Danio rerio: one gene and its partners. The protein of the gene in region 2 interacts with the protein of the main gene of each other region in a biochemical or structural test. Links are inferred from orthologs where the notes say so. Each region holds a gene or a part of one and is shown on either strand. Other genes may lie near its edges.

Region 1 (10,931 bases), on a different chromosome or scaffold from region 2:
GGGAGAGTGCTAACCACTGAGCCACCGTATCTCCTAAGCCACCTAGTAAATCTAAAGAAACTGAGAATTACCAAATGGAAACAAAATATTCAACTTCCTTGCAATAAAATTACTTTTTTATTGATAAAACATAAATCAATTTACAGTTAATAAAATTACTATTGTAAAAACACACGTGTTGTATGTAAATGCACAGTACATGATAGAACCATAAGCAAAAACAAGTGATTATATACAGATATATACAGAACAAAAAGGTAATGAAATATATATATATAAATAGAAAATCAGATGAAAAGTAGTACTGGAAGTAAGTGTGCAATGTCAAATATCTTAAAAGTCATGGGGTCATGGTTTAGAGTTCAAGCCCTGGAAGTTTTTGTCTTGAACTTTATAGTGAGAGTATTGCCTAAACACAGACACACACACACGCCTCCCAAAATATGTGCATTTCCCTGAAAATATTTGTTTATTTGTCCTGGAAATACCCAGAGTGGGATCGCCACTGGCTAAATTCTTATGCCTCATTAGTGTTATTTGTTTACACATTTAATTAAGCGACTTCACTTAGGTTCAGTAGTAGCTTTGGTTGTTAGGAATACTTATTAGGATATTATTGAACACGGTCTGCCTGCTAAAAATCCTGTAGCCCATTTATATAGAAAACTGATGCAGGATAAATCTGACTACTCTCATTATAGCAAAAGAATTAGGGAATTAGTGTTAAACACTATAATAGAGGATGAAATGTGGGAACAAATATGCACAAATTGTTATAAGGGTATAAGCAGGGAATATGGAGGGAGTTGGACTGGAAGATGAGGTTTTTCAGAGTTCCGTTAGTGGCCGCCAAATTCAATAGTTCTTTACAATTATCACAATGCTGGAGAGATTGTGGAGAAGTGGGGGACTGTGTTCACATATTTTGGGAATGTCCTAATATACAAGTGTACTGGCAGGAGGTTAACAGGGAGATTAGAAAAGTTTTAGGATATGACATACCAATGCACCCAGTATTTTGTCAATTCACATCATCAATAACATATTTGATCAATTCAGTAAGTCTCACCTATTTACACTAAATATATTCATAATAACAGGTAGGAAAAGAATTACAGTGAACTGGATGAAGACCTGCCAACCTACTTTGACAGAATAGACACAGAGGTTGAAACGTGTGTGTATATATATGTATATGTGTGTGTGTGTGTGTGTGTGTGTGTGTGTATATATATATATATATATATATATATATATATATATATATATATATATATATATATATATATATATATATGAGAAAATGACTGCAGATTTGCAGTTAGACTTTTAGACTTCTTCCAACAGACCTGGGCATTAATCGAAACATACATGCTTGATCTTTGAAAGGGTTTCAGGGGCTTTGTCTTTGTCACAGTTATTGCCTTTATATTGGAGTTTATTTATTTATTTATTTATTTATTTATTTATTTATTTATTCTCCCCCCCCTCTTTTAATTAATTAATTAAATTATTATTTTTTTTGTTTTAAAGCTGTCACTATTATTTATATATTATTATAATTTATATCAATTATTTTACATCTATTTGTTTCTTTTCTGTGATTGTAAACATTATAAGTAAGTGTTATTCGTATACTATGTTTATAAAAACTTTAATAAAAACACATTTAAAAAAAGAAATTGTCTTATAGATGCACAGTTAAATAGACTTTTTTGCTAAACACGTTGAATCTCATATACAGTTAAATATATATATACAGTACATGTGTGTGTGTGTGTGTGTGTTTATTATATATTATAATATTATTTATTTATTTATATATTTTTTTCTGTGCTGTTTAACAGAGAGAAGATTTTGGCTATACATTTTTAAACATAATAATTTTAATAACTAATTTCCATTAATTAATTTCTTTCGTCTTTACTAGTTATTTTGCAAGATGCTAGCATTAATAATTTCCTTGCTCTCTTAGACAGCGCTTGGAAAACATCTGAAAAACCGTTTCAGGAGAGCTACTAATTTGTACCGTAGATATTCCCTTCTACCTGAACAGTACTGTTACTCTATCGCCCCCTTGAGGTTTTTGACTAGTATGTACAGTATGCATTGGCCAAGCATCCACATCTGTTTTTGCATACATGTGTAAGTATGTTTCTGTATCAAAATGTTAAACAAAAAGATCTCTAAGGAGAAATATCAGGCCTGATGTTTTGATCTGTGTCCCAGATGCTGAATCCTTGAAATGCCCCTGCAGTATATTCTCATGTAGTCAACATGTTGAAGTGAAAATAGCATTTTGATCACATTAAGGATGTTGACATTAACCTCTACAATCGTTGTTTCATTAAAATAATGTTGGTTACACTTTAAGCTACAATTCTCAAGCTATTAATAAACCAATAACCATGACAATTGCTTCATTAAATTAAAAATATCTGCTTATGGTTATTTAAACAGTTTAGGGTAGGAATATAGAACATTTTGAGAAATGTAAACAAAAACAATGGTCTCAACGTATTTCCTGTTTGCATTTTTCATGTCTATAGAGTCCAAGAATCCAAAAAGAGCCACATGTTGATAAATAATGTTACTGTATGTTCAAACGATAGATCTGCAAAAGAGAAACTACGAGTTTTGGGAAACAAACATCGTTCTTTTCCCAAATTATGCATCCCTGCTGAAAAATCCAGCTTAAACCAGCCTAGGCTGGTTGGCTGGTTTTAGCTGGTCGACCAGGCTGGTGGTCAGGCTGGAAAATGACCGGCCAAATCCAGCTAAAACCAGCTTGACCAGCCTGGTTTAAGCTGGATATAGCTGGTTTTGGCTGGACTCCCAGCTTGGCTTGGCTGGTCAAGCTGGTTTTAGCTGGTCATCTCCAAGCCTGACCAGCTAAGACCAGGCTGGAAATGGCTGGAAACCAGCCTGGAAGTGGCCAAAACCCCTCTAAAACCAGCCTGGTCGACCAGCTAAAACCAGCCAACCAGCCTAGGCTGGTTCTTTTCCCAAATGATGCATCGTACTATGATAGTTTAGCCACGAGTTACATCGATGTTTGGGAAACGCACCCCAGGTTTGGAACAAATTAAACAGACTTTTAATTTTTGGGGTGAACTATCCCTTTAAGAGGTATTTCAATAGGAATAAAAATATATTTATAACGATATACATAATATATATATATGTTATATACATGTATACAGATGCATCCAAACACTACCTACAGCCACACTTTGCAACTTTCATCTCCTCGTAGAGATGTCGGACGGTGATGACGCCTTTTTCCTGGTACATGACGGCGATTGGGTCCAGCTTGGTCGGGACGCAACATGCCATGTTTGCTTTCTTTGGATTGCTGAGGTTAACCAGTGTCTGGATGACTGCATGTCTGGATGGGCTAACGTCATCAGTTAGAGGGAAATAACACACACCTTTGCACTCATAAGCGTCGTATTCCGGCGGCGCAACGATCCATTTGTCCCATCCGATGTCTTTGAAATTGACCTTGAGGGAAGTTCTCCGACAATAATTGTTCTTTGCTTTCCTCTTTCTCCTGCGGTGTCGGTTGCTCACTGGAGCTTGATTTCCCACTTGCTGTTGTTCACGCACAAGCATCTCTTTAACCTTCCTCATCGACTCTTCCTTCCGGTTTCCGAGATCATCAGAAAAAACAATGACGACCGCAGAGCTGTTGTCCTCTAGACTCAGACTTATATCGAAGGAGTCACAGCTATGTTGGACTTCAACCTGAATTTCCCCAGCCCCACGTCTAGATTCATGCCAAATCCTGACGGCTCCGGTCACATCAAAAGCCTCCCACGTGTTTATGGACTCTCTCACGTCTCTGCCATCCAGAAGGTGTAATATTTTAGCATTCTGCTCGTATTCTACATCATAGACGTTTATGGATGTGAAGAGATCGTCGCAGGCGGGTTTATGTCTGTGCCAGAGAGTGAACAGACGTAGCTGGACTGAGGTAATCTCTTCGTGATTTGGGATGGAAACGTTGAATAGCAGCCGGTGTTGGGTTTTGTTGCCTTGTCTGATGGAATAAATAACATCTGTAGAGTAGACAAAAGGGAGCTCAGTGAATTTTACCATTAATTTGATGTGTTAAAGATCTTGTGAAAAGGATAAGAGAGGCCAAAAAAATATTACTCAACCGCCAACTGTTCCGCCATATGTTTTACACAGCCGCAACCCAGTACTGGGAAACACACATGCACTCACACCCTACAGCCAATTTAGTTTATCCAATTGCCCTATAGCGCATGTGTTTGGACTGTGGGGGAAACCGGAGCACCCGGAGGAAACCCACAACAACACGGGGAGAACATTCAAACTCCACACAGTAATGCCAAACTGACCCAGCCGTAATTCGAACCAGTGGCTTTGTTGCTGTGAGGCGACAGTGCTAACCACTGAGCCACCATGCCGCCAATGTTCAATATTACACTTTAAAAAAAAAAGTCCCCTTAAATTCACTGGATTTCTGGTCATTTTGATAGCCAGTAATAGTTTAAAATTTACAAGAAGAAACAAAAAATTAAAATGCGTTTAATAATTATTGTAATTTTTACAATATTTCTATCTGGTTCTCGAATCTGATTGGCTGATAGTCATGCGATATTCCAAAATAACAGCACTCATACAGCCTCTTGTGTATTACTCCGCCCACATAGGGACGGCAGATGAATAAACGCACTAAAGATCGACAACTGACTCTCAGAAAATTGCTGAAGGAGACGAAAATCAGCAGTTCATTTAAAAAAAAAAAAAAGGATTATTATGTGTTGACAAAAGTCAGCTCATTCATGAAAAAAGACACCACTGTTATGACTTTAAATTACGGCAGGAGAATTTCTTTAGTTATAAATAATAAAAAAATATATTTTTAATATAAAAAAAGCACAATTATGCTTTAAAATAAGTTTACAAAACAACTTTTGTGAAAGATATTCGATAATGTATTAAAAAGGGATATTCACTGTTTCCTCACACCAAATTGGTTGTAAACTTTCATGAATTTTTCTTCATTTTCATAAATATATTGAAGAATTCTGCGGGGGGGAAAACTGACTTTCATAGTATTTTTATATGGATGTCAATGGCTGCCTTTTCCCCAACATTCTTCACAGTTTTGTATTCAACAGAAGCTCATATAGTTTTGGAGCACGCAGAGCAGGGATTACCAAACTTGTTCCTGGAGGGCCGGTGTCCTGCAGATTTTAGCTCCAACCCTAATCAAACACACCTGAACAAGATAATCAAGGTCTGAAGCTGCTTTTCCTCCCGTAGACTTCCATTCATACTCGCGCGAATGTGTCAGACCAGCGTGATCTCACGAGAAAACGTAAGTATTTAACGTTTTGGCAGTTTAGTGGCTAATTCGTACGAATTTGTACGATTTCAGTCGTACGAAATGATACGATTTTAAAAAGGAGGCGTGGCACCTAACCCCACCCCTAACCCCAACCGTCATTGGGGGATAAGCAAATCGTACTAAATTGTACGAATTAGATCGTACAAATTCATACGAATTAGCCACTAAATGAAAAAGTTACGAATTGCCGTGAGATTGTGTTGGTCAGACCGGAAACGCAAGGTCATGCGTCAAGTTTCGCAGGTTCCTACGGTGCAAAGTTCAAGCTTGGTGAACTCTGACCTGCGAAATCGCATCACTTGACTGCGTGAGACCAATTGAGGATCAAAACATGACCTCTCTGAACAGATAATCTTGTTTATTCCCGCCCCTTTTCGCAGCGTCGTACCACAGAATTTTATTATCAAACTCTAGTGTGACCGCAGCTTTACTAGGTATACTTAAAACACCCAGGCAGGTGTGTTGAGGCAAGTTGGAGCTAAACCCTGCAGGCCAACGGACCTCCAGAAATGAGATTGGTGACCCCTGACGTAAAGAATAAGCAAATGATAGTAAAATGAACATTTTTGTGTGAGCAATCCAGTTAAAACTCTTGTTATTGTCCACCGCTGCTGGTTCCAGTATATATCACCTAATGAAAAGTTTCCTCTGATGGTACAATCAATCAAAGAAGCTCTTTTAATGTGTGTAATATTGAACAGATCCGCCTCAGAGATTGTGAGCTCTCTTTATGTGTACTCACCCTGAACGACAAAGCTTCGGATGACATCCGACCGAGGGATGGAGTTCTTGTCAGAAGCGTATCTATTATAGAGTTCGATCATGAACTGAGGAGGCTGAACCTTTCTGTGTTCCTGCGGCACGCCTGATAAGTTCAGCTTCCTCAAAAAATCTTCCTTCATAAAGCCTAAGAAACTCTCCACCTTGTTCAAGTCATCGTCTTCAACCAGCTTCTGCTCTTGAATGAACATTGAATCTTCCAAGCTGCCAGCGTCACCTAAAGATTTCTCTTCGGTAATCCTAAAAACAATGGACATCAGAAGGAGCAAATGTCCTACGCGCCACATCTTCTTTTAGTTCCTGCAGCGATAAGTGACTTTGAGCAACAAGTTTTACATCTGACTTTGGTTTGTGGATGATGCTTTGAAATCGGGGTTCCTTAAGTGAACCTCAGGTTTACTCCCATGCCCCACGCTAAGCTCTGGAAACCAAAATAGTAGCATAGCTATTATCTTTGACACCAATGTTGTGGTTTGGACTTGGTTATCTGGAGGAAGCGCGTAGTTAATGAGCGTTCTGTAAACACTACCAGAACGACTAATGAGTGAGATTTTGACAGGCTTATTTACACGGTCAGGCTCTGTTTTTATAAAGGCAACTCCATCACTTTGAATTTGTTTGTGTTTATGTGTAGGATGTCTCAACTTATCAGCCTCGGAAATGATAAATATTAACATTAAAGATTCCAGCGCTCTCTTTAGTTTGCATTTGGTTTCATTTTCAGGTTGTGGAAAGGGTTAATGGGTCTAAAAGTTGACCGTCGCCCTCTTCCCTGTTTCCAATACAATTCATCAAGTCTTTATTCGCAATAAAACATATATATTTTAATAAATGGGCAAATCCAAACTATTAGAATTTTAATAAATATTTATATAATAACCATGGTTCAAGGTGGCTTAGTGGTCAGCACTGTCGCCTTACAGCAAGAAGGTCACTGGTTCGAGTCTCGGCTGGGTCAGTAGTGACTGTGTCTCCCTTATTAGCAAAGTACGTTAGTCTTGTTTCTGAACCTGCCACTACGCTGACACATAGGCATCTGTAGCTCCGCCCTTTTTTAAAAACAGCACAATCTCATTTGAATTTAAAGCGACAGCCATCAAAACGCCAATATTAGTATCAAAGCCTAAAAAGGGTCCGTTTCAAAGAGTTAGAAAACATTATCTGTTTGGTATTTTGAGCTGAAACTTCTTACACACACACTCTAGAGACATCTGAGAGTTATTTTAGATCTTGTAAAAAAGAGGATAATTTCTGGAAGTACACTGAATGCTAAAATTAAAAAAAAAAATTATTTTTTATATATATATATATATATATATATATATATATATATATATATATATATATATATATATATATATATATATATATATATATATATATATAAATTATAAAGTCAGAATTTCCGAGTTCTTTAACACTCTATCTATGGCCAGTCGGCAGTCAGGAAACTCATTTATACTTCGCAATTCTGATTTAATTACTTGCTATTCTGACTTTAACTCACAATTCTGAATTAATAACTTGCAATTCTGACTTAACTCGAAATTCTGACTTAACTCGGAATTCTGACTTAATAACTTGCAATTTTGACTTTATAACTTGGAATTCTGATTTAATAACTCACAATTCTGACTTTATAACTTGCAATTTTGACTTTATAGCACGCAATTTCAACTTAACACGAATTCTGACTTAGTAACTTGTAATTCTGACTTAACTCTGAGTTTTGACTTAACTCGGAATTCTGACTTAACGTGCAATTCTGACTTTATAACTTGCAATTTTGACTTAATTCGGAATTCTGACATTATAACTCGGAAATCTGACTTTATAACTCTGAATTCTGACTTTATAACTTGCACTTCTGACTTTGTAACTCGCAATTTTGACTTTATAACTCGCAATTCTGGCTTAACAACTTGGAATTCTGACCTAAAAACCTCGCAATTCTGACTTTAGAACTCGCAATTCAGACTGTATAACAGAACTCTGACTTTATAACTTGGAATTCTGACTTTAGAACTTGCAATTCCGACTTTGTAACTCGCAATTTTGACTTTTATAATTCGCAATTCTGACTTAAAAACTCGGAATTCTGACCTAAAAATTCACAATTCCGACTTTATAACTCTGAATTCTGACTTTAGAACTTTTTTTTGAAACTTTTTTGTGAACTGTTCCTTTAGTAGAAGTTTATTTTTTTTATAATATCAACTGCATTCCATAAACATATACTAATATTTTATTTTGATTTGCTGGTGTCTTATTTTACATCTTGTCATTATGGGTCCCCTTAAATATAAAATCAAATCACGTTGAACAAAATGTTTAATCACAATTCTTTCAAGTGAACAAACACATCAACCAATGTTCACGAATGAGACATAATGCAGAATATTACCAGATTTATTTACAGAAATGCATTTAAATCTCTTTGTCCTTAAATTCACCATGTATTCGTTGCAAAATGAGTCTTACCTTAAGCAAACTACAGTATGTCACAATAAGGATTATATACAGTTCATTCAAAATGAAAGAGCGGACAGAAAATACAAAGTTTGTGTGCAAAGATCCTGTATTATCTGAGGTGTTGAGGTCTTATTTGCAGACATAAGAGTTTGTTTTTGTCATATGACGGCAGTCCCTGTAGCAGAGTTTACTGTTTTGCAGATTATTTATCCGTATTTCCATTAGTGTTTCTCGTTTATCGACAGGCGCAGGTTTCCACAGACATGCTGGGATAGATCTTCAATAGCATATTCCTGCTGGAGTCCAGGAAGAGTACGGCCAGAGAGCTCATCTTATCCGGGACGCAGCACGGATCCGGGACTCCAGGAACAATCCCAACCGCTCTCACTATACTCTGGATGGTCGCATGATTGGATGGATGGACAACCTGCATTATGAGAAAGAAAGTCAAGGTTGGAGGATAAAGCCGTGAAGTATATAAAAATCAAAACTAAACAGATTGATTGCGTTAGCTTGCATTGCTAGTTTTGTGGTGAACAATTCATCAGCTCATATCATTAAGAAAAAATAGTTTACCCTTGTAAGCTTCAAGTGAAATCTGAAAATGCACTTCCTGTTCGTTTTCAGCTAAATTCCCAGATTAGGTCTGTCTTAGGTAGTGGGCGTGGCAAGCATACTTAACCACGCCCATCCAGCTGTCAGTTTTGACAACAAACAGAAATGGTGAGCAGGAGGAGTCAGTAAGGTTGTATTAACTCTCCCCAAACCACCTCCCCATCTTTCTGAATGGCATGCCTACTTTACTACATCCAATCAGATCGCAGTAGAAAAAAAAAACCACACCCACTCATTTCTCATTTAATATTCTGTTTCTCCGGGAACTGCGTCACAATACAAAAAAAGGTTGCAGCTTCCGGATTATGCAGACTTTAAAGGGATATTTCACCCACTAATGAAAACTCTGCCATCATTTACGCATCATGTTTGAGTTTCTTTCGTCAGTTGAACAGAAAAGAAGATAGTCAGAAGAATGCTCGAAAAAATATCCATCGACTTCCATAGTATGTGATGTCAATGTCTGTTTTTTTTACCCACCATTCTTCAGAATATCTTCTTTTGTGTTTATGCATTCATTCATTTTCCTTCGGCTCAGTCCCTTATTTATCAGAGGTCACCACAGCGGAATGAACCGCCAACTATTACAGCATATACATATATATGTTTTACGCTGCAGATGCCCTTCCAGCTGCAACCTAGTTCTGGGAAACACCCATACACTTATTCACACACACACACACACACACACACACACACACACACACACTCATACACTGGCCAATTCACCTATAGCGCATGTGTTTGGACTGTGGGAGAAACTGAACGAGGAAACCCACAACAACACAGGGAGAACATGCAAACTCCACACAGAAATGCCAAACGGCCCACCCAAGACTCCTGTTGTCATTTCAACCTAACACCTAGGCTGTCTGTAAAAAAAAGTCCAACAAAAACAGTATTTTTTATCTGAGGAAACTTGGATGGTTTCAGGTTTGTACCTCTATGATGACGCTGTTTTATAAACAATTAATTGAATCTGTTTTATCTTTATGCATTGTATCTTGGTACGGTAATCCGAGTGTGTCAAACAAGAACAGGTTGAGTAGCCTGGTTAAGGTGGCAGGCAAGATCACTGGTTTTAACCAAACTGGTCCTATGGTAATTTACTGAACTGGTGTTTTAAAGAGAGCTCAGGGTATGCTATGCACCCCGAATCACCTGTTTCACTCAGTGGTTCAGCCGAGTTATCAGGACGTCGTTTTAGAGTTCCTATTTGCAGGACAAATACTGTAGAGTTAGATTTTTTTATAATGGTGGTCATTAGGTTGTTAAATGAGTCCAGGGGGGGAGGGAGATGCACCTATAACATGATCAGTGACGCAAAAAGGGAGTATGCAGTTTATGCGGCGCATAGGGGCGCCACACATGGGGGGCGCCATTGTGCCAAAATTATTTTTGAAATTATCCATATTAAAAGTTTCAAATAATATATATATTTTTTTGTTAAAAATGTTTATTTAGCATTTTATACGCATATAATATAGTATTTTATTAAATGAAAAAATCATTCCTCCCCTTCCCATTTTTAATACCATATACATGTTTTTATGAATTTATTATGTATCATATTGATTCATCAGGCCTTTTGGTTACTTCTTAGCTCAAAACTATTTTAATTTTAGCTACAAACAAAGTTATAACATTTCAATTAAATAGAACATTTCACAGTTTGTTTCTG
Region 2 (10,899 bases):
ACCGGGGTTGTAAATTATTCACAGAGGCATCTGCATCTTGGGCAACAGTGGCTGCAACCTGCCTATGTCATGGAAGTCCAGTTGGTGAGGATCAAAATACACTGCGAAGCAACACAAGGTCAAGCTATCAATCACACATTAGCCCTTCAGGCAAAATAAATATGCAGATAAATATAAAAAAAATAGGATGTGTTCTGCATCAACATCCCACAGATCAATACAGAATCATTTTAATAGAAGGACTTTCCATTTTCAAACCTCTCTATCAGTGTATGAAAAGTCAATTGTTCTTTTCTAGCCTGTCTAACCTTCTGCTTGAATATTACTGCTGTGACTTGACTAAATAGGGTGAATGAGTATAGTTTTATAACAATGCGACAAACTGCACAGCACATAGGTTCATACAGACATTTGATATCAGGCCGAAAACATCCATCCAATTGGCATTAAAGAAACATGGTGCAGCCGAGAACACTGATTACATCTGGGTAAAGATACTTTACTGAGATAAACAACTAAGGAAGACTAAGGTCAAGTACAGTAAGGCACCTACTTTTTTTTTGCATGTTCTCTTTCTAATGCAACAAGAATTCAAGCTTGTAAAGTGTGCCCCAGTAAACCAGGCATTTGATCAGCTAGGAACAACACAAACCTATTTAGCTACAAAATAAATATATTTTGATAAATAATATTAACAGTAATTATAACAACATTGTAAATTTCAGTTTTGTTTTTGCATAGCAATACAATTTCAGTAGTACTAAACATCACTGTAAAAAATACAGGGTTACACAGTTCATTCAAAAATCAATTAAGTTAACTTAATAAGGTCTTGTGAAATTAGTTTCAGTCTGTTCGTTCTAAGAATATAGCTAGTGTGCTCCAAAAAAGTGACAAAATTCATTTTTAAAAGATATTAAACAAATATAAACATGTAAAGCTTGCAGTTTGTCATTTCCGCCTAAATCGATCAACAATTATTTTTACATCATACGACATTTTCTCAAACGTTGATCAAATCAAATCATCAAATCAAACGATCAAACAATCTCTAGCATCTGACATGTTCAGCCCCTTTTAAAAACTTTTCATTTGATGCGCTTGAGATCAACCACTCTCACTGGCGTAGATGAGATAAAAAGAAATGCGATTGGCTGTTTTTTTTTTTTTTTAAACGGGGAGAAGCTACTCTATGTCCCACCCTCTCTATATTGTTCAGTTAAAATTCGTCAAACACTGAATAATAAAGGTACATTTTAAAGCACTTCACAGAACCTTTAACTAATTTAAGTAGATTGAACATAAAAAGGGCGACACAAGAGGCATAGTAGGTAGTGCTGTCGCCTCACAGCAAGGTCACTGGTTCAGCCTTGGCTGGGTCAGTTGGCGTTTCTGTGTGGAGTTTGCATGTTCTCCCTGTGTTCGCATGGGTTTCCTCTGGGTGCTCCGGTTTCCCCACACAGTCTAAAGATATGAGGTACAGGTGAATTGGGTAGACTAAATTGTCCGTAGTGTATGAGTGTGTATGGATGTTTCCCAGAAATGAGTTGCAGCAGAAAGAGCATCCGCTGCGTAAAACATATGCTGGATAAGTTGGTGGTTCATTCCGCTGTGGCGACCCCAGATTAATAACGGGACTAAGCCGAAAAGAAAATGAATGAATAAATGAATGAACGTAAAAAATTAAGTTGTCCCAAAACAAAAAAATCTCAGGAATTGTGTTGTTTCAGCTCATTTTAAATAAATAGTTTGAACAAGCAACAAAATATTAGCTTGGTTTCTTGGCACAGAGGAAAATCCGCTTTTCCTTTAATTATAAACAGCTAAACAAATAGAATTATACATTTAGAATAATGCTGACACTACATAGATATTTACATGGTATAACTGAATTCACATCAGAGCATGAGAATTCACTCCGGCCTCCTTGCCAACAACGCTGCACGTTCAGATAGCCGTCGAGATCGACATTCACACATGCTGCCCTGCCGTTGACGCTCTGATGTGTGGTATGGCACCCAAACTCACATCAAAACGTGTTTACTGTGCATCAAGCTGATATGAGCGGCTGGAATCAGCGGATCATAATCTGCTCATGTGTAAAAGAACACAACGCTTCCTTCTGAAAGTATATAATTAGTCTTTATTATTGACCAGTCTCACAATCTGGCAAGTAATTGTTTAATTTACTAACCAACACTTTTCCATCTCACACTTGTGCAATGCTGTCAGAAGCACAGAGTGCATTAAATAGATTTATATGAAAATGCACTATTTGTTAAGTAGCTTTAAAAAAAGCCATTTGCTAATCCATGCGTGTCAGAAGAACAGTTAGCATAATCATTTAAGATGATAATAATAATAACAGAGTTACAATCTTATCCCAGGCTTCAATTCCGTGCAATGTTCCACTGAATTTCTTGATCATTAACAATAAAGGCACTGAAGCATACACAACGCCTAGATCTAATCAGTTACAGTTTGCAAATAAATAGTGAACTGACCCCTAGTTAACTATTAAACCCAGAACAAATAGACTTAGTGCTTCAAATGGGCTATGAGGTGAAATGATTCTGTGTTTAATCAAAATCGCCTTATAAAAAGATTAAATTAGCACAGTATACTAGACAGGTCAAAAATAAATGAGATAAAAATTGAGCGTTAAGCAATAGTTTGTGACCATCAACTTGCCCTGAACTAGTTTACATAAGTACAAAAGTAAAAAATAGTTTTCATCATGTAGTCTCAAGACTAAAACCAGCTACTGTAGAATTCAAATGCACATTTATCGATCTGCCCATCAGCAACCCTGTTGTGACTGCACAAAAGAGGATTTCTACAGCAAATGTATATTATCCACAGCACAGTAGGATCTTTGTTTTGGCAATTTGTTTCAGAAGTCGTGCTGCTGCACAATGACCCCAGCTAAGCTGCCCGGGTGTTATACAAGGGAAATAAATGTAGGCTCTCCTACCCACAACAGCTGTGCCAATAGATTTCAACGAATAAGACACTGGAAGAGGAAGCACCATTACTTCCATTCTACACACCGGTCATGATGTAGTCAAAAGCATGAACACAATCAAAAGGACACAACCCACTCTGCGTAAATGCGTCATTTTAATGCAAACCAAGACGCAAATCCAAGAGGCACGCAAAGTGAATTTTGCAAGCTACTCAACGCCATCAAAGCTCTCGTGAAAAACAGCTGACCACCACATGTACTTTTAATAGTCGGTAAATATTTGCAAGAAAAAAAAGAAAACCGAGGAACTAAATTTGAAAGTGATGTGTGAAAGTTGCCTTCATACAGAAGATCATGAGGCAAAGCGAGCTCAAAGCACAACATATTATCGTTATTATTAACAACTAGAAACAATAATAGGAGTAGTATTAGTGATAATAAAGTGACTTTTCAGTTGCTTCATGAAAACATATTGCACCACAATGCATCTAACACAATTTTTTATTCCAATGCATTACTATACTATTGAACAAAAACTATGGGCTCTATGCAAAGCTATAGTTTTAAAACTTCTGGTGAAAGATTAATGTGACTATTTTGAATTCCACAAGGTTGTTTTTACAGCATTGATGTTGTGATGTAATTACAATACATTCAGTTAAATAGACTTAAGCATTCATTTAGCGTTCAAGCGTAAAACGAGATGAAAGGCCATTGTAACCACTAGCATCACAATGCATTGTAAATGTATGTCTGTAAGCAATGTATATTTAATATAGCCTAATGTTAATAATAATAATAACAATAATTTAATAATAATTGTTATTATAATACAGTGTTTCTTATGCATCCTATCACCATCATTATAAGTTGTACTAAAGATATTAGCTGGGTATATTGGGTGTTTACTAGCTTCTGCTGCTGCCATCTACAAAAAGTAGCTTGTCCCATGGCAAAACTCGAGTGAGAATTTGTGATGCACCAGTATCAGATACAAGCGGAAGGTTTTGAACTGTAATTCTATGATTTCAAGGGAAATCAAAGAGAACATGATTCAATCTGATCGCTCGTAAAAGGATTAGACTGGAAACTAAAAAATAAAAATAATAAAAAATAAATCTTTGATGTTATCGTCAAACGAACATAAAATCTATTCGACAGCAAGAACAGATAACAGCACTGCAGCTTCTAAATGAACTCAAGTACAATATATCTACACACAAAATGCCCATTAACATTATGTTTCTGTCTTTTTGCTACACTGAAAAGTTGCCATTGAATACATTTAAACTCCTCTTTAAGCTTACAGTTTCTATGTGCGCTTTGGTTAGATGCTGCCACTTGTGATTTATTTTAGGAGCCATGACGTTTAAGGCATAATTTACATTCGACTGGGCAAGTGCTCAGACTTAATTCTCTCAGCAGTCATAAACTCATGCCTGGGCAAAACTTCTGCAAATGCTTACATCACATGTAACAAATAAAGTCAAACTGTTCAATTATATCTGGTTTCCGAACAGATGCAAGCATAAAGACGAAGTAAACTGAAGTGACTCTAATAGGCGTTCAGTTCTGGAACACAACAAAACATACAGCACAAATCGGTTACTAGCGGCTCTAAACATCCATAAACACAGGTGGAATCATAATCAGGTGAAAGGTTCCTCATATCACTACAAGCAGAGGTCTATAATGGTTTATACGTGCACATCCCATCAGTTTACACTGATTCCTCAGAGAGAGCATATGCAATGTGACCCAAAAGATATGGTTTCTTATGTTACCCAGAAGCTCCTGAATACTTCTGCCTTTAGACTGATATAAATACCGAAGCGATGTGCTCAAATATAACATTTTATTGATTAATTGTCTGTGTAGCCAAAAGAGTGCAGAGCTGTGTGGGCAAGTGCGATGCAGGATGAGGGATGTAGTGGGAACACAGAGTACAGGCACAAACTGTGCCTATTGTACATTTTGCAATAAAAGTAAAATCCTAACTTTGATCACAGAGTGTGTTGAGGAACATCCACTGTTTTGACTTGCTGTTGCTTAAATATTCTACTGAATAAAAATAATCATTAAGGTGTAGATCAAATATGCAAGGTAATCTGTCCTATCTTATCTAATGTTCTCACATGCAAATAAGACCTTTGGCCTAGCCATCGGCCTCATCAAATGATTTTTCCCCTTCCTAAACCACTCATATACATAAATGTAACCTTCCTTTTCATGAATAATTAAAAAACAAAAAAAAAAAAAGATCTGCCAGTAGAGGGGGTTTACATGCAACATATAAAACATGCATGCATGCATGAACAGCAACAGCAGCCAGCACAATGACACTGGTCAATATTAACAGAACGTTCAGATCACATCACCAGAGTGTTTTCTCAACTCCACTGAGCAGGTCTTCATGTTGGATACTTGTCAAACCAGCTATTGAGAGAAATAAGCTGCTCAATCCTGGCAGAAATCGCTGCTTCTGTGTTGTGCATGCTCAGATCATATTCATATGGTGTTGTGTAGCTATTTTACGAGAAACCAATGAATTCGATCTCAATGCGGAGTAACACGAGAAAGAGCCTCCGGTGGCACATGCATACACACAAAAAGAGATATGTCATGACACAAATGCACACTGTGCGTGCGCGTATTGCATTTAAAGGGGTCAAACAGATTACTACCCACCTGAGGAGCAGGAGATGAGGAACACTCCGAATGCCAGCTTTGTTGCAGGTCCCATTTTTTCACTCTTCTGTCTTGTCCTACAAAATCCAAGAGTCTTTGCATTCAAGTTTCCCCTCAAACTACTGATAAGCAGTCAGTGAAACACATCCATGTCACCGAGTCAGTGACAGATATACGGCAGTGCACAAATCCAGTGCCAGTTTATAGTCCTCGGATTCAGCGAGTGAAAAGCGGCATCAAAGTGTCCACTTGAGATTCAAAAATTTCGAGCTTTCAGAAACAAAGTCAACAATGACTGTCCATGCAATTTGCATTAAAAGCCATGCCAATAACGAGGAAATTCCAACGCGTACGAATAATACTGTATCTACACAATGTTGCACTGTCGCGCGCTCAGAATAAACGAGTCCGTTCAATAAAGCCGTTCAGTAAATGGGCCAGCTCCCATTGCCAGTAATCAGACCAACTGGAAAAGCTTTGCATAGAACCCGCCATCAACATATATAAAGATACTGCTGATTATTAATGCAAATGAACTAACGTAATATCTCAAGAAGAGCAATGCCTCCAGTTCACTCCCACCCGACAACTCACAGGCAGTACACTAAATCCATGCACGTCTACGGGAATAAAAATGAAATTAACATCGCCAGACGATGTTTTCACATCACGCTTAATTCGCGTAATGTTTAAATACAATGTATGTAGTACAACAGATCATGGATAAAGTGAAATAAATGGGGTCACGCGCACGATTTAGCGCACGCGCGAGCTCAAGTTGACAGTGAAGGACTTAACGTTAAATATGGCCAACGCGCTATATCTACATTCGCTTCGGGTGTAAATGATTCAAACCTGCAATTAGCGACCTCGCAAAGCTTCTCCACAACTGCAAAGGTAGGTAGTTAAACCAAACAGTCGTTCGGACTAAGACAAGTCGACGGCTGGATAAAGCTTAGCACGTACAGCCTCCGAAATAACTTCATCAGCCCCGTCGGGAATATGACGCAAAAAATGAGACGGATATGACAGATGTGGTCACTAAAGGTAATCCTTCAAAATGTACTGTCCCGGTGTTCGCAGACGGCGGACTTTTTAGAGCGGTCGGAACTCAATTTATCGCTATTTCCCTCTCCGTTGCTGTCAGTAACCGTTGGCTTACAGTATTCAAGATGGACGCCCGGGCGGATTGTTTTTGTTTTTTTCTGTCCTCCACTGCCTTTACCCGCCCATTATTTTACGTAAGCGCGGCACCATACTGACTGACGAGCGCTTTGTCCAATCAGAAACATATATGTTAATAACCGAAACCAATTGCAGCGCTTGGTTCACAGAAACCCATCCCTACTCATCATGAGGGGTTTGTATGTGGCAGTAGAGTGACGTGCATTCCAAATGTAGGCTGTGAAATATTCACTGTATGTTGATAGTAGTGTTGGGTACTATCATATCCCTGATGTAACACTCTCTCGTTTATGAAGATACACAATATGTTATATTATGTGCAGTTGAATAGTCTATTTCAATTTAATGCTGGTATATATTGGGGCTAGAACATGGGAAACCTGTCATCATATATGTCCCCCTCACTTTTAGAGACAGATCATTTAGAAACGGGTGATTAATAGTTACATGAACGTAAAGTTTTGGATCTCATACAGCTGTCCCCCCACTTTTAAAATGTCCGCTACATCCCTGGACATTTTTGTAAACAAATGAACACCATAAACTGTACGAACATTCATCCAGGTGAGCCTATAACCTATAATGAATTAGATTTGAACAGGAAGGTTTACAGCATGATTGTATTATCTGTAAATGTCAGGTTGGTTGACAAAAATGTTTTGAAATATACTATTCTCTAATGTATACAGTTGATCAAAAAAATATTATTTGGTCAAAATTATCGTTTAATGTTTTGCGTCCTAAAAAATTCGTTTTAAGTATAAATAATTGTTATACTGCTTAGTTTTTCTTTCTGCAAAGCCTATAACCTTGCTAAATGCATTTCTCCAAATTCTCTAACAGATCTCAAAATCTGTTCCAATACAGTCACAGTGTGTTTAAGTGCAGCTGAAAAATTATAACCCTACCCTTTATACCCATAGCAAAATCTTAGTCTGGCAGACAATGATTCATCTTTCTGAATAAATTATAACAATTATTCAAATACAAATATATATATATATATATATATATATATATATATATATATATATATATATATATATATATATATATATATATATATATATATATATATATTGCTGGTGTCTGAGTGACAGTGATTTACAAACGTTGTAAATTTTAAAAAGTTTATCTTAGTTTGTTTAAGTGTTTGGTGCAAACCCTTTACTCTCATTTAAATTAAATTAAAAATAAAAGTAGAGGTTTGTACCTGGAAACTGTTGATATTTGACTTCTTTAAAAGTGGCTATAGGCAGTTCTATTGCATGTTTGTTAAAATGCGCATATTCTCATACACATACTCACAAAGTTTATTTTGTTGTCAAGATTAGGAGAGTGACCATCATGAAGCTTTTTTTGTGTAATTCCATATTTTCTATTCTCACATTTAATTATAGTATAACAAATTGATCAAAGCTAAAGATTTTAATAATCTGATTTTTTTTTTTAATAAAAAGCATCATAAATACATCACAAGGTCCCCACAGAGGACTGCTCTTAGTGATTTGTGGGCTGCTCACATTGTAACATAATAGCAACTCCCCAACCTGGCCCAATGCAGCCTATGTAATCTGATCCACAAATATTCACACATAATCCTGATGCCCTATTTAACCATAAGCATTTTTTTCATTGCTGCAGGGATCTGAACCTTTGTTCAAGTCCTTTAGTTGCTTCATTCAGTGACTGCAGTGAACAACTTGAGAGAGTTTTGGTATACATGTGTGAAAAGAGCACGCTGGAGCATATTTCACAATGAAATGTCATTTTTTTCCAACAACCAGAGGTGACTTTAGAAATATCCAAACTAAGCTACTGTGAAGGTCAAAGACATGTGATCAATGGCAGTGCCCACCGCACTTTGTCTCCCTCTCCTGATATTTCAAACCTGAGAGAATGCTGAAGAACGCTCTTTTCTAGCATTCTACCAACCTCCAAATGCACATCCTCCTTCTCTTTTTTTATATGAACCAATGCAGATAGATGGATGTATAGACAGACGTAATAATTGTTTGAAAATAAATGTTTTTATTTTGGTCACGATTCATCTTTTACTTGGATTTTTGAAGTAATGTTAAAGTTGTCATCATAACAAAAGAAATACAAGTGAAGGTTATTCCAAAAAGCAGAAAGTTATGTGGCATGTACCGGATATGTTTAAGGATATGTAAGCAAATAATCTCAGTATTCGGTTCCAAAAACTATAGTAGCTTTTATGGTATATAAGTTGCCACAGCAGCTTATGCTCTTATCACAACCTTTTCTGGAGCAGCCTTTTGTTTGTTAACTCTGTACAGTATGGTTACATTTGTTAACATCAGTTAATTAAACTTACTTCAATTTAATGACACATACAAAAGCATTTATTTATCTTAGGTAATGTTAAATTCTAGGTTAATCATATAATTGTTTTATTAAATGATTCAAAGTTATTTATTTGAACTATAATATGGCTATTTTTCAGTGTTGATTTTAGCGCATGTACTAATGTTTACTAATGAGACTTTATTGTAAAGTGATATCTATTGTAATTTTTTGTTCTTTTGCAATTTAATTTGTTTCAAACATTTGTTTACTCCTAACATGTATTCACAATAAAGCAATGTGCATATAGTTTTTTTGGTTATTACAATTCTCCTAAAATAATCTATTTTTTTCAACATGGGTCAAAATCCTGATAATATTGATTATCGCAAGAAGAAAGATCTGATAACGGCAAAAGCCTATTCAAAAAAAAAAAACTGAAAAATTTGAGATCAATATTATAAAAAAGTAGAACTACCAATAGGGGTGGGTGATGAGCTTTAAAAATGTAACTTAGCGTTAAACAGAAGAAGAAACAATAGGTGTGACACCCTGCTTTTGGCATCTGTTTTTATGGTAACTCCTGGGCTGTTTCTCAATATGCATTCTTCAGCGTTCTTGTGTCCTCGTGTAACGCCATCATCAACTGCCAAAGTTCAGTTCCAAAACTCAAGCCCGCAAGAACGGAGGACATGTGAAAATTCCCGGATGTATTCTTGATATCGAGGACACATCAATGCAGACCTAAGTAGAAAACTTGCTCTAAAAGTCCCAGAAGTCATTGCAGCTGGAAAAAAAGGAGGTGGGAAGCGCAACATTTACTATACTATTATTATTAAAGAATTGAGAAACAGCCCTTGTTTTGGTGTTCTGTTGAAAATAACTTTTGTTCACGGTTAACATATTCTTAGTTGTCGGCATCAATAGCCTAGTGGTTAGCACACCCCTACGGGGGCCGAAAGAGCTTAACATGCTGCAATTTAAGAAAACTCGTGCAATTACAAAAACACAGAAATGTTTCAAGGGGACCCAAAGATGTGAAGGATGCCGCTGTGCCGTGACTATTGCTCATAGCAGTTGTAAGTGATCTTTGAAAGGTAAGTTTATTTTTGTTTATTTTAATATCCCGATTCCTGTGTCTTTAGTATTTACTGTATTAGCCTAAATAACTGTAACCTAAATGGCTTAAAACATTTCCGTTGTGTTGTGAGAAAATGCAGTACATTTTAGTAGCATGTTTGATTTGTGTGAAAATGCAGCTCGTTTTTAAAAAAATTGTGTTTGTGTTGTGGCGATTTGCAGCATGTGTGCAGTCAAACTGATGAAGATCTTTTCTCAGTTTACAGGCATTTTTTGTAATTGCTTGTGTTTTCTTAAATTGCAGCACGTTAAGCTCTCTCGGCCATCGTAAGCAGGGTGTCACACGGTTGTTGCTATATCGAATGTGGTTGTGGCCGAAAGTCAATGAGAATTATATATATTATTTTTTAATTTCCCAATTGTTGTATTTGATATTGTCTACCCCAACCCTAAACCCAATTAAAAACGGTAGTTGTACCGAGTATTTTTATCGCTATCTATTTAATTACCCACAACAACCCTAAACCCAACCGTCACAGTACTGTAAAAATATTAATTATTGTTATACAGTATCATAAAAATAGTGCTGCTATACTGATGTGCATATCGCACTTTCGGCCGACCGCGTATCTGATCTAGACTTTACCGTGTCACACCTCTTGTTTCTTCTTCTG
Region 3 (10,279 bases), on a different chromosome or scaffold from region 2:
TTCAACTTGTTTTAATTAAGTAGATTGAGCAAGCAGCAAAAGTCATTTTTGTGTGTATGAATAGGATGATTTGTTGAACGAACATAAAAGATGCGAGTAAACTGAGAGATGTCGTGTGGTCATGTCCTAAGTAACACACACTCACGCACATGGGGGCCGAAGGTCTCAGGATCACGGCTGGGCTACGAGGTGCTCGCTGTACTCAAAGAACAGCCTGTGTTTATTCAAACTTATTTATTGGGCCGAGCCTGCAGTAAAACACTATCAGTGCCGGGAATGATATCCTCACCTCACATGCTCCTAATAAATGCCCCTCTGTGGAAAAACAGCAGAAGGCAATGTGCTGGACATTCAACACAACACAAGCAAGTCAAATGACAGATATTAGGTAATGCTGGAGATCCAAACAAACTCATGCTTTTGTTTTAAACAAGTACTTTGAGTTTAAAGTTAAACAATTGAGTTGTTGCTTACAGTTGAAGTCAGAATTATTAGCCCACATTTAAGTTTTTTTTTAACATTTTTAAATATTTCCAAAATGATGTTTAACAGAGCATAAAAAGTTTTCACAGTATGTCTTATAATATTTTTTTCTTCTGGAGAAAATCTTTGTTTTATTTTGGCTAGAATAAAAGCAGTTTTAATTTTTTTAAAAACTATTTTAAGGTCAACATTATTAGCCCCTTCAAGCTATATTTTTTCAGAAGTCTACAGAACAAACCATCATTAGGGACCTTTCCTGGACCACCTGATCAAAAAGGCTCACCAGCACCTATTTTTCTTAAGGCAACTTAAGAAGAACCAGCTTTCATCAGCTGTCTTGGTGAACGTCTACCGCTGCACAATAAAGAGCATCCTGACAAACTGGGTCACAGTCTGGTGTGGAAGCTGCTCTGTTGCTGAGCGAGAGGCACTGCAGCGGGTGGTGAAAACTGCCCAACGCATCACAGGGACAACACTGCCAGCCATAGAGGACATCCAGAAGAAACACTGTCTGCGCCGAGCACGCAGTATTCTGAAGGATCCCTCTCACCCTGCTCACAGACAGTTTTTGCTGCTGCCTTCTGGCAGGCGCTTCAGGCTCCCCTGGACAAAAACCAGCAGACTGAGGAGCAGCTTTTTTCCCTGAGCTGTCTCCCTCCTGAACTCTGCCCCCCACTGACTCTTTTGCCCCTCTAAGACACCCCCCACTCTCCTCTAACTTATACTCCTCACATTTACTGCACTATTTAACATTTGCACACTTAAAAATTGCACTGATTCACTTATTTGAACTGTACATACACACTGCACATGGACATTAGTAATTATGAACACACCCACTGCACATATACATTTGTAATTATGTTTATCTATCTGCACACTTCTGATTATTAATAGCAATCTGTACATACTGTATATGCATCTATTGTAAAACTCTGTTCATAGCTAATCCAACCTGTACATAATGTTCATAGTACATCCATCTGTAAATATGACTGTAGGTTTTCTATAACTGCACTTAATAACTTATACCTGTATCCTACACTTGCTGTTATTGCACTGCTGGTTAGACCTTAACTGCATTTTGTTGCATCGCACTTGTACATGTGTAATGACAATAAAGTTTAATCTAATTATACAATAACTTGCCTAATTACCCCAACCTACTTAGTTAACCTAATTAAGCTAGTTAAGCCTTTAAATGTCACTTTAAGCTGTATAGAAGTTTCCTGAAAATTTTCTAGTCAAATATTATTTACTGTCATCATGGCAAAGATAAAATAAATCAGTTATTAGAGATAAGTTATTAAAGCTATTGTGTTTAGAAATGTGTTGAAAAAAATCTTCTTTCTGTTAAACAGAAATTAGGGGGAAAAAACAAGGGTCTAATAATTCAGGGGGGCTAATAATTCTCCAACTGTAGTTAATTTTGAACCCACCAAAAATTTTCATATTTAAATGTACATTTTTGCATTTGTTTATAACTTGATTTCCTATTTCACTGTAAAATTGCCATCCACACAGATAATTAATGTTGTCCCAACATAAATCAAATTAACTTAATAAATATAAACAGATTTAGCATAAAACAATGAAGTTGTCCCATTTAAATCTCAAGGATTGTGTTGTAGTATTGTGTTGAAGTAGATTATGTGAAATTAGCTTCCATTGGAATAAGTTATTAGTTTTTATTTGCAAATTTAAGTTGATTGAACATAAAACAATTAAGTTGTCCGCCCAAAACTAAATAAATGTGTTGTTTCAGCTTATTTTAAATAAGTACTTTCGAATAAACAGCAAAAGTCATTTTGAGACTGTAATACTTATTCCTAAAATGATATTTATTGATTTTTTTTTTTTTTTTTGTCAGAAGGTTGATTTTTCTGATGTATCATCTCTTGAACTGCATCCCAATCATCACAAATACTGCAGAAGACCTACTGGAACCCACATTGATTCTTACTGAAATTAGTCAAGTTTGGTAAAGGAGAAATCATGGTTTGGGGTTACATTCAGTATGGGGCTGTGCGAGAGATCTGTGCTGCCCATTACATTACAAACCCACAGGAGATGTTAGCGCTCCTTTTCATACTTCAGCCTCTACATCAATTAAAGAAGGTCAAGGTCAGGCCCGTTCTGAGACTGTCCAAAGGGCATGTGCAGGATACATTTTTTGAAGAGTGGGGTGGGGGGGGGTTGTTGCCGCGCGGTTGTTGTTGTTGTCGCGTGCGTACTGAAGAGCGGTGTTGTCGCGCGTTCTGATCAGCGGTGTTGTCGCGCGCGTACTGTAAAGCGGGGGAGGGGGGTGTCGCGGGGGCACTTTTGATCATTTTGGAAGGGCACTTTCTATCCAAGACTAAAAAGGGCATGTGCACTGCACAGGTTGAGCCCTATGTGTGCACGTGCCTGGTCAAGGTGCTCCAGGATTGGCCAGCCCAGTCACCAGGCATGAACCTTATTGAGCATGGCTGGGGTAAGATGAAGGAGGAGGCATTGAAGATGAATCCAAAGAATCTTGATGAACTCTGGGAGTCCTGCAAGAACGCTTCTTTGCCATTTTAGATGACCTTATTAATACATTGAGTCATTGCAGAGATGTATGGATGCAGTCCTTCAAGCTCATAGTAGTCATACAAAATATGAATTCTTTTTCCACTGCAGCATGATTTTATATTCTAACCTGTGCATTATTTCTATTAAGTCTTGAAATAATTGAAAATCAAGGTATGATCATGTTTTATTTTGGTAAAATAGGCGTAATCTAGAGGCCTTTCAAATAAGCCACTTCTGATACCAAATGATCAACTAGAAGTCAAGTTACTTTTTGTTGTTCCTAAAACTTGCATAGGCGACAAGACTTTTGCCAGGTAGTGTATATATATATATACATTTCTTCATCAATGGTAAATGAGTCAATGATGACACGCATTTAAAAAAAACACAAAAAGACAAGCATGTTTTAGAGTTCGTGTTGGAAAATAAATACTTTGTCATTGAAAAACTATTTACACAGTAGAAAGCACAAGTATATAGAAGTATGTAAATGTGTGCATACATGTGTTGGTGCGTGTCTGTGTGTGTGTGTGTGTGTGTGTGCGTGTGTGTGTGTGTGTGTGTGTGCGTGTGTGTGTGTGTGTGTGTGTGTGTGTGTGTGTGTGTGTGTGTGTGTGTGTGTGTGTGTGTGTGTGTGTGTGTGTGTGTAAAAAAGAGAGGTTATCTGTAACTTCCTTTTGCAATCCTGGCCAATCGAAAGTCTTCATTTTGTCCTTGGTATACGGTCTTGGTTTGGCCTGAGATCTTCATATCGTTTTGGTGGGATCTTGGGAGGGCGCCATTTTTATAAATGAGGATCAGTCATGCGTGTTTGTGTGTGTTTGCATTGTCTATATGGATGTAATGATTGTCTATGCATATGTGTGACAGGACTCTAGTGGCATCCACACGCTCTGACCACCATGTTGCGGTATTTCTTCAGGATGACGTTGGAGCTGTCGTCAAAATACAGGACGGAGATGGCGTGGAGTTGGGTAGGAGCGCAACATGGTTTTGGAACTGTTTCAGGGTTGATGAAGTGAACCTGAGATGACAAAAAAAGAAAATAGGACAAAGTCACAAAGTGTACAATGCACTTTTTCTTACAGTATGTGTCCTAAATTGTAAGCAAATATTTAAACTGCATGATTAAAGTGTGTGAATATACACACTGTTAACAATTTTCTGTAGAATCTACAGTGACTTACTGTAAGGTTCAGTTTATATTACAGTTCAGTTCACCACTGACTTACTGTAAATCGAAATACTGTATTTACATTTACAGCATCATTTACTGTGCTATGTATGTATTTGCAGCATTGCATAGTTTTTACTGTAAAATTTACAGTAATTTTCACAATGTAACTTTAAATTACAGTAACAAACTGCATAAATGTCCTACAGTAAGGTTCAGTTTATATTACAGTTCAGTTCACCAGTAATTTACTGTTAATCAATTACAGCAAAAATACTGTATTTACATTCACAGCACCAATTACCTTACTGTGTATGTATTTACAGCACTGTATATCTTTACCATAAAATATACAGTAATTTTCACAATGCAACTTTAAATTACAGTAACAAACTGCATAAATGTCCTACAGTAAGGTTCAGTTTATATTACAGTTCAGTTCACCAGTAACTTACTGTAAATCAAAATACTGTATTTACATTTACAGCATCATTTACTGTGCTGTGTATGTATTTACAGCATTGCATATTTTTACTGTAAAATTTACAGTAATTTTCACAATGCAACTTTAAATTACAGTAACAAACTGCATAAATGTCCTACAGTAAGGTTCAGTTTATTTTACAGTTCAGTTCACCAGTAATTTACTGTAAATCAATTACAGCAAAAATACTGTATTTACATTCACAGCACCAATTACCTTACTGTGTATATATTTACAGCATTGTATATCTTTATTGTAAAATATACAGTAATTTTCACAATGCAACTTTAAATTACAGTAACAAACTGCATAACTGTCCTACAGTAAGGTTCAGTTTATATTACATTTCAGTTCACCAGTAACTTCCTGTAAATCAAAATACTGTATTTACATTTACAGCATAATTTACTGTGCTGTGTATGTATTTACAGCATTGCATATTTTTACCGTAAAATTTGCAGTAATTTTCACAATGCAACTTTATATTACAGTAACAAACTGCAAAAATGTCCTACAGTAAGGTTCAGTTTATATTACAGTTCAGTTTACCAGTAATTTACTGTTAATCAATTACAGCAAAAATACTGTTTACATTCACAGCACCAATTACCTTACTGTGTATATGTTTACAGCATTGTATATCTTTACTGTAAAATATACAGTAATTTTCACAATGCAACTTTAAATTACAGTAACAAACTGCATAACTGTCCTACAGTAAGGTTCAGTTTATATTACATTTCAGTTCACCAGTAACTTCCTGTAAATCAAAATACTGTATTTACATTTACAGCATAATTTACTGTGCTGTGTATGTATTTACAGCATTGCATATTTTTACCGTAAAATTTGCAGTAATTTTCACAATGCAACTTTATATTACAGTAACAAACTGCAAAAATGTCCTACAGTAAGGTTCAGTTTATATTACAGTTCAGTTTACCAGTAATTTACTGTTAATCAATTACAGCAAAAATACTGTTTACATTCACAGCACCAATTACCTTACTGTGTATATGTTTACAGCATTGTATATCTTTACTGTAAAATATACAGTAATTTTCACAATGCAACTTTAAATTATAGTAACAAACTGCATAACTGTCCTACAGTAAGGTTCAGTTTATATTACAGTTCAGTTCACCAGTAACTTACTGTAAATCAATTACAGCAAAAATACTGTATTTACATTCACAGCACCAATTACCTTACTGCTTGAATTTACAGCACTGTATATCTTTACTGTAAAATATACAGTAATTTTCACAATGCTACTTTAAAAACAGTAAAATATTGCATAAAGCTAGATTTATACTTTTGCCTGGCGCCGCATTGCGCACCTTCAATGACTGCGCGCTCACCCTCATGAAACAGATGAGGCTTTTATACTCACCAGGTTTATTAAAATGTTAATGAAAATAGAACATGGGTTGCTCTAAAAATATTATTTTTATTATGGCAAGAATAAAAGCAAAATAAAAGAGCACACTTACTTAAAAATACAGATGTTTTTTTTTTATATATATTTGTACAGAACAAACAACACAATCATTATACGATGACTTGCCTAATTACCCTATCCTGCCTAATTAACCTAGTTACGCTTTTAAATGTCACTTTAAACTCAATACAAATATCTTGAAAAATATCTAGAAAAATATTATGTGCTGTCATTATGGCAAAGACAAAATAAATCAGGTAATAGTACAACTTTTATGTTTAGAAATGTATTAAAATATCTTTTCAAAATTGGGGAAAAATATTCAGGGGGGCCTAATAATTCTGACTTCAACTGTTTACAACCTATTATAACCTACTATTTTTATATACAATGACAGTGATCAAATTTACTGGTATTTTTCAAAAGGGCCTGCTCACATATGATCCCTTTCCGAAAAATTGCCGGTTATTTTCCGGAAAAGTCTGTATGTGTGAAAGGGGCTGATGATTTAGTTTATACAAACAAAATTTGTGATGGTCACAGCAGTCAAAAAGAATGCACTGATCCTGATACTTGTATCGGCTATCGGTTAGATACTGCATATTTTTGCTGGATCGGGTATCGGCCAGCTGGTACCGATCCAAAACCGATCTTGCACGTGCGCTATGTTCTGTGTAATTTATAAGCCAACAAAAGCTATGAAGGTAGCCTATTATAAAGCACTAGAAAATTGTCATGTAGGCCTACCATATCCCAAATGTTTTGAAGCCATTTAGTATAACAAGACTAAGCAATTGGTCTATGCTGCTTTTAAAGTGCATGTAATCAGTTCATAATGATCCTCCGACTGTGTGTGTGCAATCAGCGGAATCCGGAACAGGTGCATGTGAGCGCACTTAGTGTGTAACATTATTGAATGGATTTGATCGTAATAATCTAGGAAAAGTCTGTAATATTATAGTGTTTTTCTGTAAACATTTAAATGAAAATATCTGTAAATTTATTATTTTTTGCACTTTATTTCAACAAAGACATTTTACCGTAATTTTATGGTTTTTGTTTGGCACCCGTAGCTGTCAGTCATTTGACCTTTTTTTACGATTTTTTTTCTTACAGTGAATTATGTTCATAAAAAAATTATAAATAATAAAAAAAGGCACAGTATCGGGATCGGATCTGATTCGGTTTTGATATTTTGATATCAAGATCGATTGCAAAAAAATAGTGTCGGTGCATCCCTTAAAAGAAGTATGAAGTGTGGAGGCAAAAGGTGGGCACTTTACCTCCACCTTTATAGACATCTGTACACACTTTGGATTCACTCTTTCCACATTTTGACGATGAACATAATGTTCTCCACCAGGCTCAATCAAACAAAACTTTATATCATCATTAAAGTGAGCTTTAGACAGGTTCTCCCGCCACACAACATGCTCATGTCTTTTGATTATTTCTTCTGATAAGGAATTGGGCATTGTAGTATGGTGATTCACTGCTGCCACACACATATTATTTATATCCCTCAATTATGTCATAATAATGAGATCTTTTCTCATTAAAATTACATCTTTAATCATAAAAACAAAAAGCTGCATCTTTTCTGCTTATAACGAGATGTTGTTTAGGTAAACGATACAATTATCTCATTAAAACGACATATTTTTCTTGTTAATCCAACTTAATTGTCTCATTAAAATGACAATTTTCTTGTTAAACAACATCTATTTCTTGTTAAAATGAGATCCTTCATACATGACGTGACCATCATGTTGGTATAATCAAACGGGTAAAAGAATCCACCTTTTTTCAAGATAAGGCACATTTAAATTGGTTAATTGGACTTTCTCCTCAGTTTAAAAACACAACAACATTTTATCAACATCCAAGTTATTTCCACTCTATCATTATTAGCATGTGAACACTAAATCAGCATCTTAATCATCTGAGATTATACTGGTGAAAGAATCAAACAGATCTATAGGAAAAAGCGTTTGTCTGCATTATAATGCGAAAAACTCAACCCTGGCTCATTCTGATTACATACATTTCTGGAGAGCATCCCAGGAGCAAAGCCGGAGAGGGACTACTTTTCAGCCCTGGAGTTTCAAGCCTTAGACCGGCCCACTTCAGTTCACGACTGACTATATTAAAATAACTATTGAAAAAATGTAAAGCTTAAAGGGGATAATAATTTTGCCCTTAAAATGTTTTTTAAAAATACTAATTTTGCTTTTATTCTAGCCTAAATAAAACAAATGAGACTTTCTCCAGAAGAAAAAATGTTATTAGACATACTGTGAAAATTTCCTTGCTCTGTTAAACATATTAGGAAATATATTTATATATATATATATATATATATATATATATATATATATATATATATATATATATATATATATATATATATATATTAAGGGTGGAGCCGAACCCGAATACGTTATTCGGAAAGGCACGAATAGCGTGTTTTTACGAATACTTGATTCGAACAAATACTTGAAAAATTATTTGTATTCGGGAGCAAGAAAAACACTATATCAAAAAGCAGCGTTTCCTCCTGAGACCACAGTGCATGCCCGCGTGAGTGAGTGAGTGAGTGAGTGAGTGAGAGAGAGAGAGAGAGAGAGAGAGAGAGAGAGAGAGAGAGAGAGAGACGCTCAGTGCAAAACGCGCCAAAGCCCGAAACTGAAAGCGAGACGTGACTTTTAAGGGACTGTTTCAAATGGATTTATTAATCATTCTTACTGTTCAGTGATCGCAAACTGCCGTAGTTTATTAAAGACGCAAACCCTCACTGCACGTCAGCTGCGCGGCTTCAGCAAACCTCCTCATTCCTGCAGCACGAGGGCTTTATGATTGTTTATGCGCGCCAAAAGTGGCGGATCTGTTTGGTAAAATATCTGACAGCGTGTCACCGCATCCCTAAGGACTGTTTGGCGAAATATTTGACTGCATGTCACTGCATAACAAACGACTGAAACGATATAACTAGAGAAATCTCCACTGTGCCACTATGCGTATGGCAAGCCGTTTTAGCATTTAAACCTTGTTCAGACTATCCATAAATATATTTAGAGATATCTCTAATTATATTTTGACTTGTCATAATTATAATTCAGATTGGAAATATCTGCAAATATATTATGACTGACTAGTCATATTCCTCCATTGACTTCCATTGAAAAATATTTGCAGATATCTCTAAATAAACAAACAAACAAACTTTGTGTCTTTTTTGTGGCTGGCAGATGATAATAGCAGGGCTGTATCTTTTAGTATTATATAGAATACTTTTGTTCTGCCAGATGTCCCGGGCAGGGTTTTATTTAGATTTATTTAGTTAATATTAGTTTTTGGAATTCTGTCCATTGGAAAGAAGTTCTTTCAGAGGAAGAACAGTTTTTTGAAGTATTATTTGTTTTTATTCTGTCTATTCAGTGTCCTTCAACAAGAACGGTGGTGGTGGGGTTCATAATATTCACAATGGTATTTTATTAGTTGTTGGTTTAACCATGGATGAGATAATGGCTTCTATGTTATTATCTTTTCAATGACATTTCTTATCACATGTTCAAAAACAACAACCAATATTGCATATCTATAATTTATATAATGGGTATAATTAAACAATACTTTCACTATAACGTAAATTAGAAGTGTAATAGAAAAAATATATATTTTTGCGCCATTTTGAATTTTACTCGAATACAAATACAAATACAAATACTTTTCCCCCCTCAACAAATACAAATACAAATACAAATACCGGCTGCTCCGCACATCCCTAATATATATATATATATATATATATATATATATATATATATATATATATATATATATATATATATATATATATATATATATATATATATATATATATATATATATATATATATATATATATAAAAGGGGGGGGATGATAATTTTGACTGATAGACTATTTGTACCATTTTAAGGACAAAATTATTAGCCCCTTTAAGTTTTATTTTTCAGTAGTCTCCAGAACAAACCATCATTATGCAATAACTTGTCTAATTACCCAAACCAGACTAACATAATTAACCTAGTTAGGCCTTTAAATGTCACTTTAGGCTGTATAGAAGTGTCTTGAAAAATATCTAGTCTAATACTATTTACTGTC

What was found.
Region 1: the proteins of acvr2aa (region 2) and gdf2 form a complex in vitro, tested with the Homo sapiens proteins (2 studies listed by BioGRID). The link is inferred for Danio rerio from reciprocal best matches to the Homo sapiens genes ACVR2A and GDF2.
Region 3: the proteins of acvr2aa (region 2) and bmp7b are reported together in a solved structure, tested with the Homo sapiens proteins (2 studies listed by BioGRID, with this or other methods). The link is inferred for Danio rerio from reciprocal best matches to the Homo sapiens genes ACVR2A and BMP7.

What each region holds. Positions count from the first base shown.
Region 1 is NC_133187.1:3,040,112-3,051,042, reverse strand, and holds gdf2 (growth/differentiation factor 2 preproprotein), read right to left. Parts: upstream 6,451-10,931; coding exon 6,126-6,450; intron 4,062-6,125; coding exon 3,217-4,061; downstream 1-3,216. Other genes in the region: gdf10b (growth/differentiation factor 10), read right to left, coding at 8,871-9,062. UniProt on the Homo sapiens protein: Potent circulating inhibitor of angiogenesis. Signals through the type I activin receptor ACVRL1 but not other Alks. Signaling through SMAD1 in endothelial cells requires TGF-beta coreceptor endoglin/ENG.
Region 2 is NC_133184.1:27,062,449-27,073,347, forward strand, and holds the start of acvr2aa (activin receptor type-2A precursor), read right to left. Parts: upstream 6,706-10,899; 5' UTR 5,709-6,705; coding exon 5,654-5,708; intron 5,227-5,653; exon of another isoform or gene 1,836-5,226; intron 1,777-1,835; exon of another isoform or gene 1-1,776. UniProt on the Homo sapiens protein: On ligand binding, forms a receptor complex consisting of two type II and two type I transmembrane serine/threonine kinases.
Region 3 is NC_133198.1:6,461,461-6,471,739, forward strand, and holds the end of bmp7b (bone morphogenetic protein 7b precursor), read right to left. Parts: intron 4,061-10,279; coding exon 3,911-4,060; 3' UTR 3,611-3,910; exon of another isoform or gene 3,555-3,610; 3' UTR 3,439-3,554; downstream 1-3,438. UniProt on the Homo sapiens protein: Growth factor of the TGF-beta superfamily that plays important role in various biological processes, including embryogenesis, hematopoiesis, neurogenesis and skeletal morphogenesis.